2 linked regions of the Oryctolagus cuniculus genome follow. The protein of the gene in region 1 interacts with the protein of each later gene in a biochemical or structural test. Links are inferred from orthologs where the notes say so. Each region holds a gene or a part of one and is shown in the gene's direction. Other genes may lie near its edges. The genes, in order: DNM1L and FIS1.

What was found.
Region 2: the proteins of DNM1L (region 1) and FIS1 form a complex in vitro, tested with the Homo sapiens proteins (2 studies listed by BioGRID). The link is inferred for Oryctolagus cuniculus from reciprocal best matches to the Homo sapiens genes DNM1L and FIS1.

What each region holds. Positions count from the first base shown.
Region 1 is NC_091440.1:128,780,332-128,784,136, forward strand, and holds part of DNM1L (dynamin-1-like protein), read left to right. Parts: intron 1-4; exon of another isoform or gene 5-395; intron 396-857; exon of another isoform or gene 858-929; intron 930-1,221; coding exon 1,222-1,308; intron 1,309-1,425; exon of another isoform or gene 1,426-1,741; intron 1,742-2,896; coding exon 2,897-3,059; intron 3,060-3,805. UniProt on the Homo sapiens protein: Functions in mitochondrial and peroxisomal division.
Region 2 is NC_091450.1:43,420,591-43,425,029, reverse strand, and holds FIS1 (mitochondrial fission 1 protein), read left to right. Parts: upstream 1-1,370; 5' UTR 1,371-1,509; coding exon 1,510-1,554; intron 1,555-2,405; coding exon 2,406-2,538; intron 2,539-3,411; coding exon 3,412-3,488; intron 3,489-3,665; coding exon 3,666-3,771; intron 3,772-3,856; coding exon 3,857-3,954; 3' UTR 3,955-4,161; downstream 4,162-4,439. UniProt on the Homo sapiens protein: Involved in the fragmentation of the mitochondrial network and its perinuclear clustering. Plays a minor role in the recruitment and association of the fission mediator dynamin-related protein 1 (DNM1L) to the mitochondrial surface and mitochondrial fission.

The sequences.
Region 1 (3,805 bases):
AAAATTTTTTTTTTTTTACCTTAAGTTTAGCATCCCTGTGAAGGGTGCTCAGAGGGAAGCGGTCTGGTAGAATAAATTGGGGAATGGCATTTCCTCTAACTCCGTGTATCTAGCTGTACAGGTTTCTGTTCCTCTGGGTCATTTTCACAGCTTCAAGGTATGTGTTCATGCTGGCATCTGCACCCATGGTTGTTCCATGGACCTGTGTCCCATTCTTCAGTGCAGTGGTTACACTTTCATCACTCAGTTTCACCAAAAATCCCACAAGCTTCATCCAAGCAGCACAGTCCCCCTCTCAGTTCAGTAATGGAGAGAATGCAACCACCTTGGACGGACTGGGCACATGAGTGGCCCGAAACGTGTACTCCAGGGGCTCTGCACGAGGACTTGGAGCACTGTGGATAGACACGGAAGCACCAGCCCAGATGTATTTCCTTAGAAATCTCTTATCACACTAGTGTTGCCACTTGATATTCAAAGATCAAGAACCGAATTGATCCCTTCCCCCTTTTTGTAGCACAAGAAACAACCTCACTATGCAATAACCCTTTCAAAAATTGTGTATTTTCATTTTATTTACAAGACAGAGAAACAGATGTAGATCTTTGATGTATTGGTTCACTCCTCAAATGCCTGCAACAGCTAGTAGGAGCCCGAAATTCAGTCTGGTTCTCCCACATGGGTGGCAGGGATCCATCACCTGCTGCCTCCCAGGGTGCACATTAGCAGGGAGCTGGATGCTTGAACTAGGTACTTAGATATGGGATACAGATGTCCCAAGCAATTTGATTTAACCATCTTTCCAAATGTCCGCCCGCCCGCCCATCTACCCCATCAAATTTAATTGAATAATTTACCTGTGTTTCCTTGTCTGAACCTCTGGGACCTCTTAAATTTGGATAGTGAGAAATATGTTGTTTTGTTCAGCACTGTATTAAACATATTTAAGAAATGATACATGCTTAGAATCAAGAGAAAAGAAACCAAACTAATACAGGGGAAATAAATTGTTCTTATTATTGGTATGGGGTTCAGTAGTATTATAACCCAGCTGATTTATGTCCCATGTATTTCAACAGGTTTAGATTTTTAAAACGTTTTATAGATTGTAATGTAATACATTTTTAAAAAGATGTAATGTTTGCTTGAAATGAGATTTACTACAGTATTGCATTCTTCATTGAATTGTTAATATAATTTTAATATATATTTTACTTTTAGGGAGTAAGCCCTGAACCAATTCATCTTAAGATCTTTTCACCCAACGTTGTCAATTTGACACTTGTGGATTTGCCCGGAATGACCAAGGTAAGGAGTCATTGTTACTCATTGTGATTTTGGTTATGTTAATTTTTGCTTGAAACATTGTGGTTTTTCCCTAACCCCGGGTGAGAATAACCAGCTTCTTTTTGCAGTCACACTTACCTGTTAGAAGCATTTGATAGAGCTGAGCCTTCCTTGAAACACTCTCTCTACTTGGCTTCCAGGATACCATACTCTTCCGGTTTATCTCCAAGCTCACTGGCCACTTCTTTCAGTCTCTTTTGTTGATTTCTTCTCATCTCCCCATTGTCTGAACAGTGAGTGCCCCATAGCTCAGTTTTTGGACTCCGTCCCCTACATGATTTCTTCAGATCTTGTGGCTTTAAAATACTTAAGGTTCTGTATGTTGATGGCATTCAAGTATCTCCAGATATTTGTATATCTGTCTGCTTGACAGATAAAAAGCTTCAAAAAGTTTGTAGAAAATGTGTATTAAGAAAAACTGCACATTGATTTGAAAAACTTACACACCAAAGTAACATTTTAAATTTCATGTTCATGAACTTTTTGAAGTACCCTTGTACACTTAAGTGTCTTGTAAGCGTTATAGATCTGACAAGTTGGATACCAAATTCCTAGATTTGACCCTTTTTTAATCTTCTCCCCTCTCAATAAATGACAACTCCCTTCTACCAATTGCTTAGCCAAAATTTGTAGTCATCCTTATGCTTTTTATTCTGCATTACACTTCCTGTCAGCATGCCCTCTTTGCTGTCCTCACCTGTACAGGACACCCAGAATGCTACTGTGTCTCATTAGACCAGTGTCAATTCACCTGGTTTGGTTGGTACAACAAGCAAATAAATAACAGCTCTTTCTCATTATCTGCCTGTTCTTAACTAAGCAGCCAGAGTGATGGTATTAAACATTAGACTGTGTCCATCCTCGCTAAAAATTCGCCCCAGTAGCCTCCCATTCCACTCAGAGTAGGAGCCCGAGTTCTTACAGAAATCTAAGTGTCTATTTGGTGTCTCCATGCTCTTCTTCTGACTCTTGCTCCATGCTCCTGCCTGCTGTCACCCCGCCTGGGACTTCCTTCCCAGACACCTGCGTGTGCCCTTCCCTTTCCATCTTCACTTTCTGTCATTCTCTCAAAGGTAACAACCCAGTTTCAGATCATCCCTGCAGAGTCTACCGTTGTATTTATTATAGCCCATTCTACCACCTGGATACTATGAGTATTTGTAATCACTACAACACAGGTTTATGAAGGCAGAACGGTTGGTCTGTTTTAGATTCACTGCTGTATTATACTCTGACATGTAGAAAAGGACCCGAAGCATGGTAGGCCATCAGTAGACCTGGGATAACTGAATGGAGTTGTCTCTCAGGCAGTTAGCACTGACTAGTCCTTCACATGGGATCATGTTGGTCAACTTTGGATACTTGCAATAGTTAAATTTTGCTGTTTCACACATTAACCAAATTCATGCATACCCCTGTAGTATCATTAATTTCATTATGTTAACAGTTTGCAAATAGAGAAATAACCTGTAATTTGTAAATTAATGACGGGGGGGGGTTGCTGAGTTGATTTTATTATTAGTTCCTTGCTCATCTCTGTTTGGTTTAGGTGCCTGTAGGTGATCAACCTAAGGATATTGAGCTTCAGATCCGAGAGCTCATTCTTCGTTTCATCAGCAATCCCAATTCCATTATTCTCGCTGTCACTGCTGCTAATACAGATATGGCGACATCAGAGGCCCTGAAAATTTCAAGAGAGGTAGATCCAGACGGTAAGGATAGGTGTTAATATTTAATTAGATGCTTGATTGACAATGATAAATCTCAAGAAAGGAATTTCTATTTTTAAAAGGAATATTTCCAGTTATTAATACAGAGTTTAAAAAAGGAATGCTTTCCTACTTTGCTTATAATTTCAAATAGAAATTCTGATGAAAAATAAGTTTGTCAAGTTGCTGTACAGGCTAGGCAAAAATAATTCACATAATGTCTGTATCTTTAATGGTTACCTTTTATTTGAGAAGTGGACAGAGAGAGAGCGTCCCATCCACTGGTTCACTCCTCACATGCCTGCACTGGGTGAGACTCAGCCAGGCTGAAGCAGCGAGCTGGGAACTCAGTCCAGGTCTTCCACATGGGTGGTAAGAATTCAGCTATCCCCAGGTGTGAATTAGCAGGAAGCTGGAGTAGAGCTGGGACTGGTAGCCAGGCAGAGATACGGCAAGTGTCCCAGCTGCATCTTAACTGTTAGATCAGATTCCTACCCCTAATGACTTTAAATAATAAAATACCTTTAAAACAAAAAGTTTCCTAAGAGGTATAAATATAATGATTTAGGTTTATGAATGGCTTTTTTTAAAAAATATTTATTTATTTGCAGGAGAGATTTATCTTCCATTTGGTTTACTCCCCAAATGGCTGCAACAATTGGAATTGGACTTATCCAAAGCCAGAAGCCAGAAGCTTCACCTGGGTCTCCCACAGGGGTTTTAGGGGCCCAAATACTTGGTCCATCTTC
Region 2 (4,439 bases), on another chromosome or scaffold:
GGGCTGAGGTCTCGGCTCTCGCACCCCCAGCCCCGCTGCCAGTCCGTGCCTGGGCCACAGTAGCAGCCTTTTGCTGGCGCCCAGCTTTCGTGCTGCCCCCGTGGTCTTCTCTCCAAAAGCGGCCAGTGCGATCCTTTTACAAGGAATCGCTGCTCTCCCATCGCACAGAAAGTCAGATCCAGCCCTGGCTAGCCTGGGAGGCCCTGCGCGATCGGCCCGCGGCCATCCTGCCGCCTCGCTCTCCGTCACTCAGGCTGAGCCCCGCGTCCGCCTGGTGCCCCCTCCTCGAGGCTCCTGCACGTGCTGGCGCCCCTGGCCTGCATGGCTCGTTGCCGCAGGGTCAGAACTGGGCCCCGGCGTCACCCCAACGACAGCCCCGTCCCGTCTGATTTCCCCACATGCACAACACGGCTGACGCCAGGGGTGTGGGTCACGGCCACACCACGCGGTTCTCTGCCGACACCAAGGGCAGCTCCGACCCTGTCCGTTGGAGTTGGCATCGGCTCCCACCACGGACAGCGCTGGGCCTGCAAGCCTGCCCCCAGCCCGCGTGCCTGTCCCGGGGCCCAGTATGTGCCCCCTGTATGCTGACTGCCGGGCTGTCAGTCGGGGGCTGCCACGACCCCAGTCTCAGGTCAAACAGACCCCATCCTGAAGCCATCCCTGCCCACCGGGGTTCCCTTGGAGGGAGCTCTGTGCGCAGGGCCCAGCCGCTACGTCTGAACGGCACGCATTTCTCTCCCTGAGTTTCACGGTTCCCTACTGAACTATCAAGGCCAAACAGGGAGGGGTGACTCACAAGACCGTTAGAGCTACAGAGCAGCGGGCTTGCAGACCGGAAGGGCGTCCCCCTGGTATCAGCTGCATCTGCCTGATGCCGTGCGTGTGCACAAATATTTACCTTGCTGGGCGCTGGGCGCTGGGCGCTGGACGAACGAGGCAGCGTCCGCCCTCCTGGAACTTCCACTCCAGCGCGCACGGGAGCTCAGCCTCCCACGGCCCCAGGTGGCCACTCGGGGACGCCCAGGAAACGGTTGGTCCAAGTACCACTTGGAAGTCGCACCCTCTTGCCGGGAAGGAGGCCCCCCGCTAACAGCGTCCCTCGGGGGCACAGCTCACAGGTGCAGCTGTCCGGCCCTGGGACCCTGGTCCTGGCTGCGGCTGTGGCAGGCAGGGAAGCCACGCAGCCTCGGCCGTCCCTGGTGGCCGACAGACCCCTGCCTGGTCTCCCACCCTTCCCTTTCTAGTTTTGGCCCGGGGGCGACGTCCGCGGGAGAGGGCACAGGCGAAAGCCCGGCCCGGGCTCTGCGGGGTGCGGGGTGCGGGGTGCGGGGTCCGCGCGAGCGCCCCCTTCCGGCAGGCTGCCTGGCGAAGGAGGGGCGGGGCGTCGCGGGTCCGGCCCGGGGGCCGCATCCGCCGAGCGCCGGAAGTGCTGCTCCGCCCCTGCCGCTGGGCCATGGAGACTGTAGCACAGTAGAGTCCACTGTGAGGAGAGCGGGGGCGGCGGCCATGGAGGCCGTGCTGAACGAGCTGGTGTCTGTGGAGGATCTGAAGGTGAGGCCTGGCCCCGAGGGAGGGCGCGGGGCGAGTCGGGGACGGGTCCTGAGGAGAGTCGTGTAGGGGCCAAACCCTCCTCCCAGCTTCAACTTTGCTAGGGGAAGCCGAACTACAGCTCCCGGCAGGCCTTGCGCCGTCCGGCTCCTACCTCAAGGGAGCTCTTTGCCGCAGAGGCTAGTGGGAATTGTAGTCTCTTCGGCCACCACACCTCCGAACGAAGACTTGGCGTCTAACCCCAAAAAGGCTGTCAGGTGCGGGTTGCCGCGTAATTTGGGAGGTCAGGGCGTCCCGTCGGTTGTGGGGGAGCACGGCGACAGCCATAGCGCGTCACACGTCACTGGGTCCAGCACGATGCGCTGCACGCCAGGCCTTGGCCTTTGTGGCCCCGGAAGTTAGACGAGATAAGGTGCAGAGCCGGCAGGGCGGAGCAGGCGGGCCAGCCGCCGACGCCGAAGACGCGGGGGCTGCTGACGGCTTGTTTACTGCACTGCCGCCGCGGTCAGCTGCTCCGGGAGCGGTGCCTGGAGCCGCCGGCAGGTGGCATCTCCGCTTGGCGCCGCAGGGGGGTGTGAGCCCCGGGGTGGGTCCGAGAGCTCGCCTGCATCCCGGGTCCGAGAGGCCGGGCGGAGGAGCCCCGGGGTGGGTCCGGGGAGCTCGCCTGCATCCCGGGTCCGAGAGGCCGGGTAGGGGCGAGGGGGGCGCCGGGCGTGCCGGGTACCAAGGCCCGAGGGCGGCGGGGAGGGGTGGAGGCCTAGAGAAGCAGAGCCGGGGATGGGACCTCAGCTCCGGATGCGACGTGACTGACACTCCTCACCTCCCCAATGGTCCCCTCGCGTGTCCCGTGGCAGAAATTTGAGAAGAAGTTTCAGTCCGAGAAGGCGGCAGGCTCGGTGTCCAAGAGCACACAGTTTGAGTACGCGTGGTGCCTGGTGCGGAGCAAGTACAACGATGACATCCGCAAAGGCATCACCCTGCTGGAGGGTGAGCGCGCCCCGCCCCCGCCCCCGCCGTCACTGGCCCTGGGGTCCCTCCGCGTGGACCCAGCAGTGCCCGGGGCGCTGCGGTTATGCTTGCGCAGGCCTACTGAGCGTGTAGACCCCCCCCGTGGCACGGCTCCCTACACGTGGCTGTGGCCTGTCTACACAGCGGGGGGACTCCGAGCGCGGGGCCGTGCGTGTTGGTTACACGCGAGAATCTAAGGGGCCTGAGCATCCACAGAGACTGGTGTCCGTGAGGGTCCTGGAGTGTGCCTCCCCCCACCAGGGCGCGTGCTCGGGCCAGGTCCTCTCCCGCATCACCGCTGCGCCCCAGCTGGTGCCCAGGCCCCTCTCCGAGCTGCTTCCTCAGCCCCCTGCCCCTTGGTGTAGGTGGGCCCGCGGCAGAGGCCGCAGAGCTGGGCGGCCCGTCGCCCCGCGCCCCCTTTCTCTGGGTCCCTGACCGTGTACGAGGCAGCGGTGGGCGTCCTGGCCAAGGCTGCCGGTGCCCCTCGCCAAGCGCCCCTCTTGGTGCGGACGCTTCTTCTCCTGCACGGGGTTAGCCTCAGCGGGGCGCAGCCCTAGAACTGGCTGAGGGCACAGTGCAGACCCAGGACACCTGCTGAGCAACCAACCTAGCGCAACCCCCACCCCCACCCCGCCCCGGAAGTAGTGAGTTTGGAGCAGGTGTTCTGAATGGGGGGGGAACAGCGTGTTTTGCAACAGCGATGGGGCCATAACCGTTTGGCCCCTCCCGTGTCCTGTCGGGTCACGTGCATTGACACGGGGCGGCTGTCGCGGGCTCCCGCTGTGGCTGCGGCGGGGGCGGGGGCGGGGGCCGGGGCCAGCCCAGAGCAGCAGCGCCCCCTCCCCTCCGCAGAGCTGCTGCTCAAAGGCACCCAGGACGAGCAGCGGGACTACGTGTTCTACCTGGCGGTGGGCAACTACCGGCTCAAGGTAGGCGGGGCGGGGTTACGCGGGGTCAGGCCTGGGCGGCCTGGTTATCTCCGCTTATCGCCCCCAGCAGGCGAGGCTGTTTGTGGACTCTAGTCCGCCGGCTGCGGCTGCGGGTGGGGCCGCAGGGGGAGGGCGCGGGGCTGAGGCGGGCACGCCCCCCGACCTTCCCGCGTGCAGGAGTACGACAGGGCCCTGAAGTACGTGCGGGGGCTGCTGCACACGGAGCCCCAGAACAACCAGGCCAAGGAGCTGGAGCGGCTCATCGACAAGGCCATGAAGAAAGGTGAAAGCCGGCTCGCCCGCCCGTGCCCGCTCCCGGCGAGGGGGGCGGCGGGCGGAGGCCCTGACGGCGCCCTTTCCTCCCCCAGACGGCCTGGTGGGCATGGCCATCGTCGGAGGAATGGCCTTGGGCGTGGCGGGGCTGGCCGGACTCATCGGACTGGCTGTGTCCAAGTCCAAATCCTGACCGAGACTGCACTGCCCGCTCTGCCCAGGCGTCCCGGAGCCGCGAGGACCCGCAGAGAGGGCCCTAGCCCCGCCGTCCCCTGCCTCTTCTCCCCCACACCTGTCACTCCTCCCCATGGCCTTCACCCTCCGCTGCCCGGGGACCTGTCCTTAGCCCCAGATCTTGTGCTCTGGGACGAGTGTGAATAAAATTGGGCCGCGGCCGGGAGCCTTCGTGTCGTGAGTTGGGGGGGCGGGCGGGAGCCACCTGGTGCAGAGGGTGAGGGGGCCTGTGGTCTGCCCGGTGCCCCCAGGCCAGTGTGGGCTTCCTGTGACCATCCCCCTCCCCCCGCCCCAGGCAGCCCCTGCTCTCCCGGGGACGCAGCGCGCGCACAGACCTGTAGGGGGCAGCAGAGGGCAGGTGCGCAGGTGCAGGCTGGGGTGCGCGTCTCCTCTGACCCACTGTGCTGCCTCTCGGCCCGCGTAGTTTTCCGCTCCGGGGGGGCC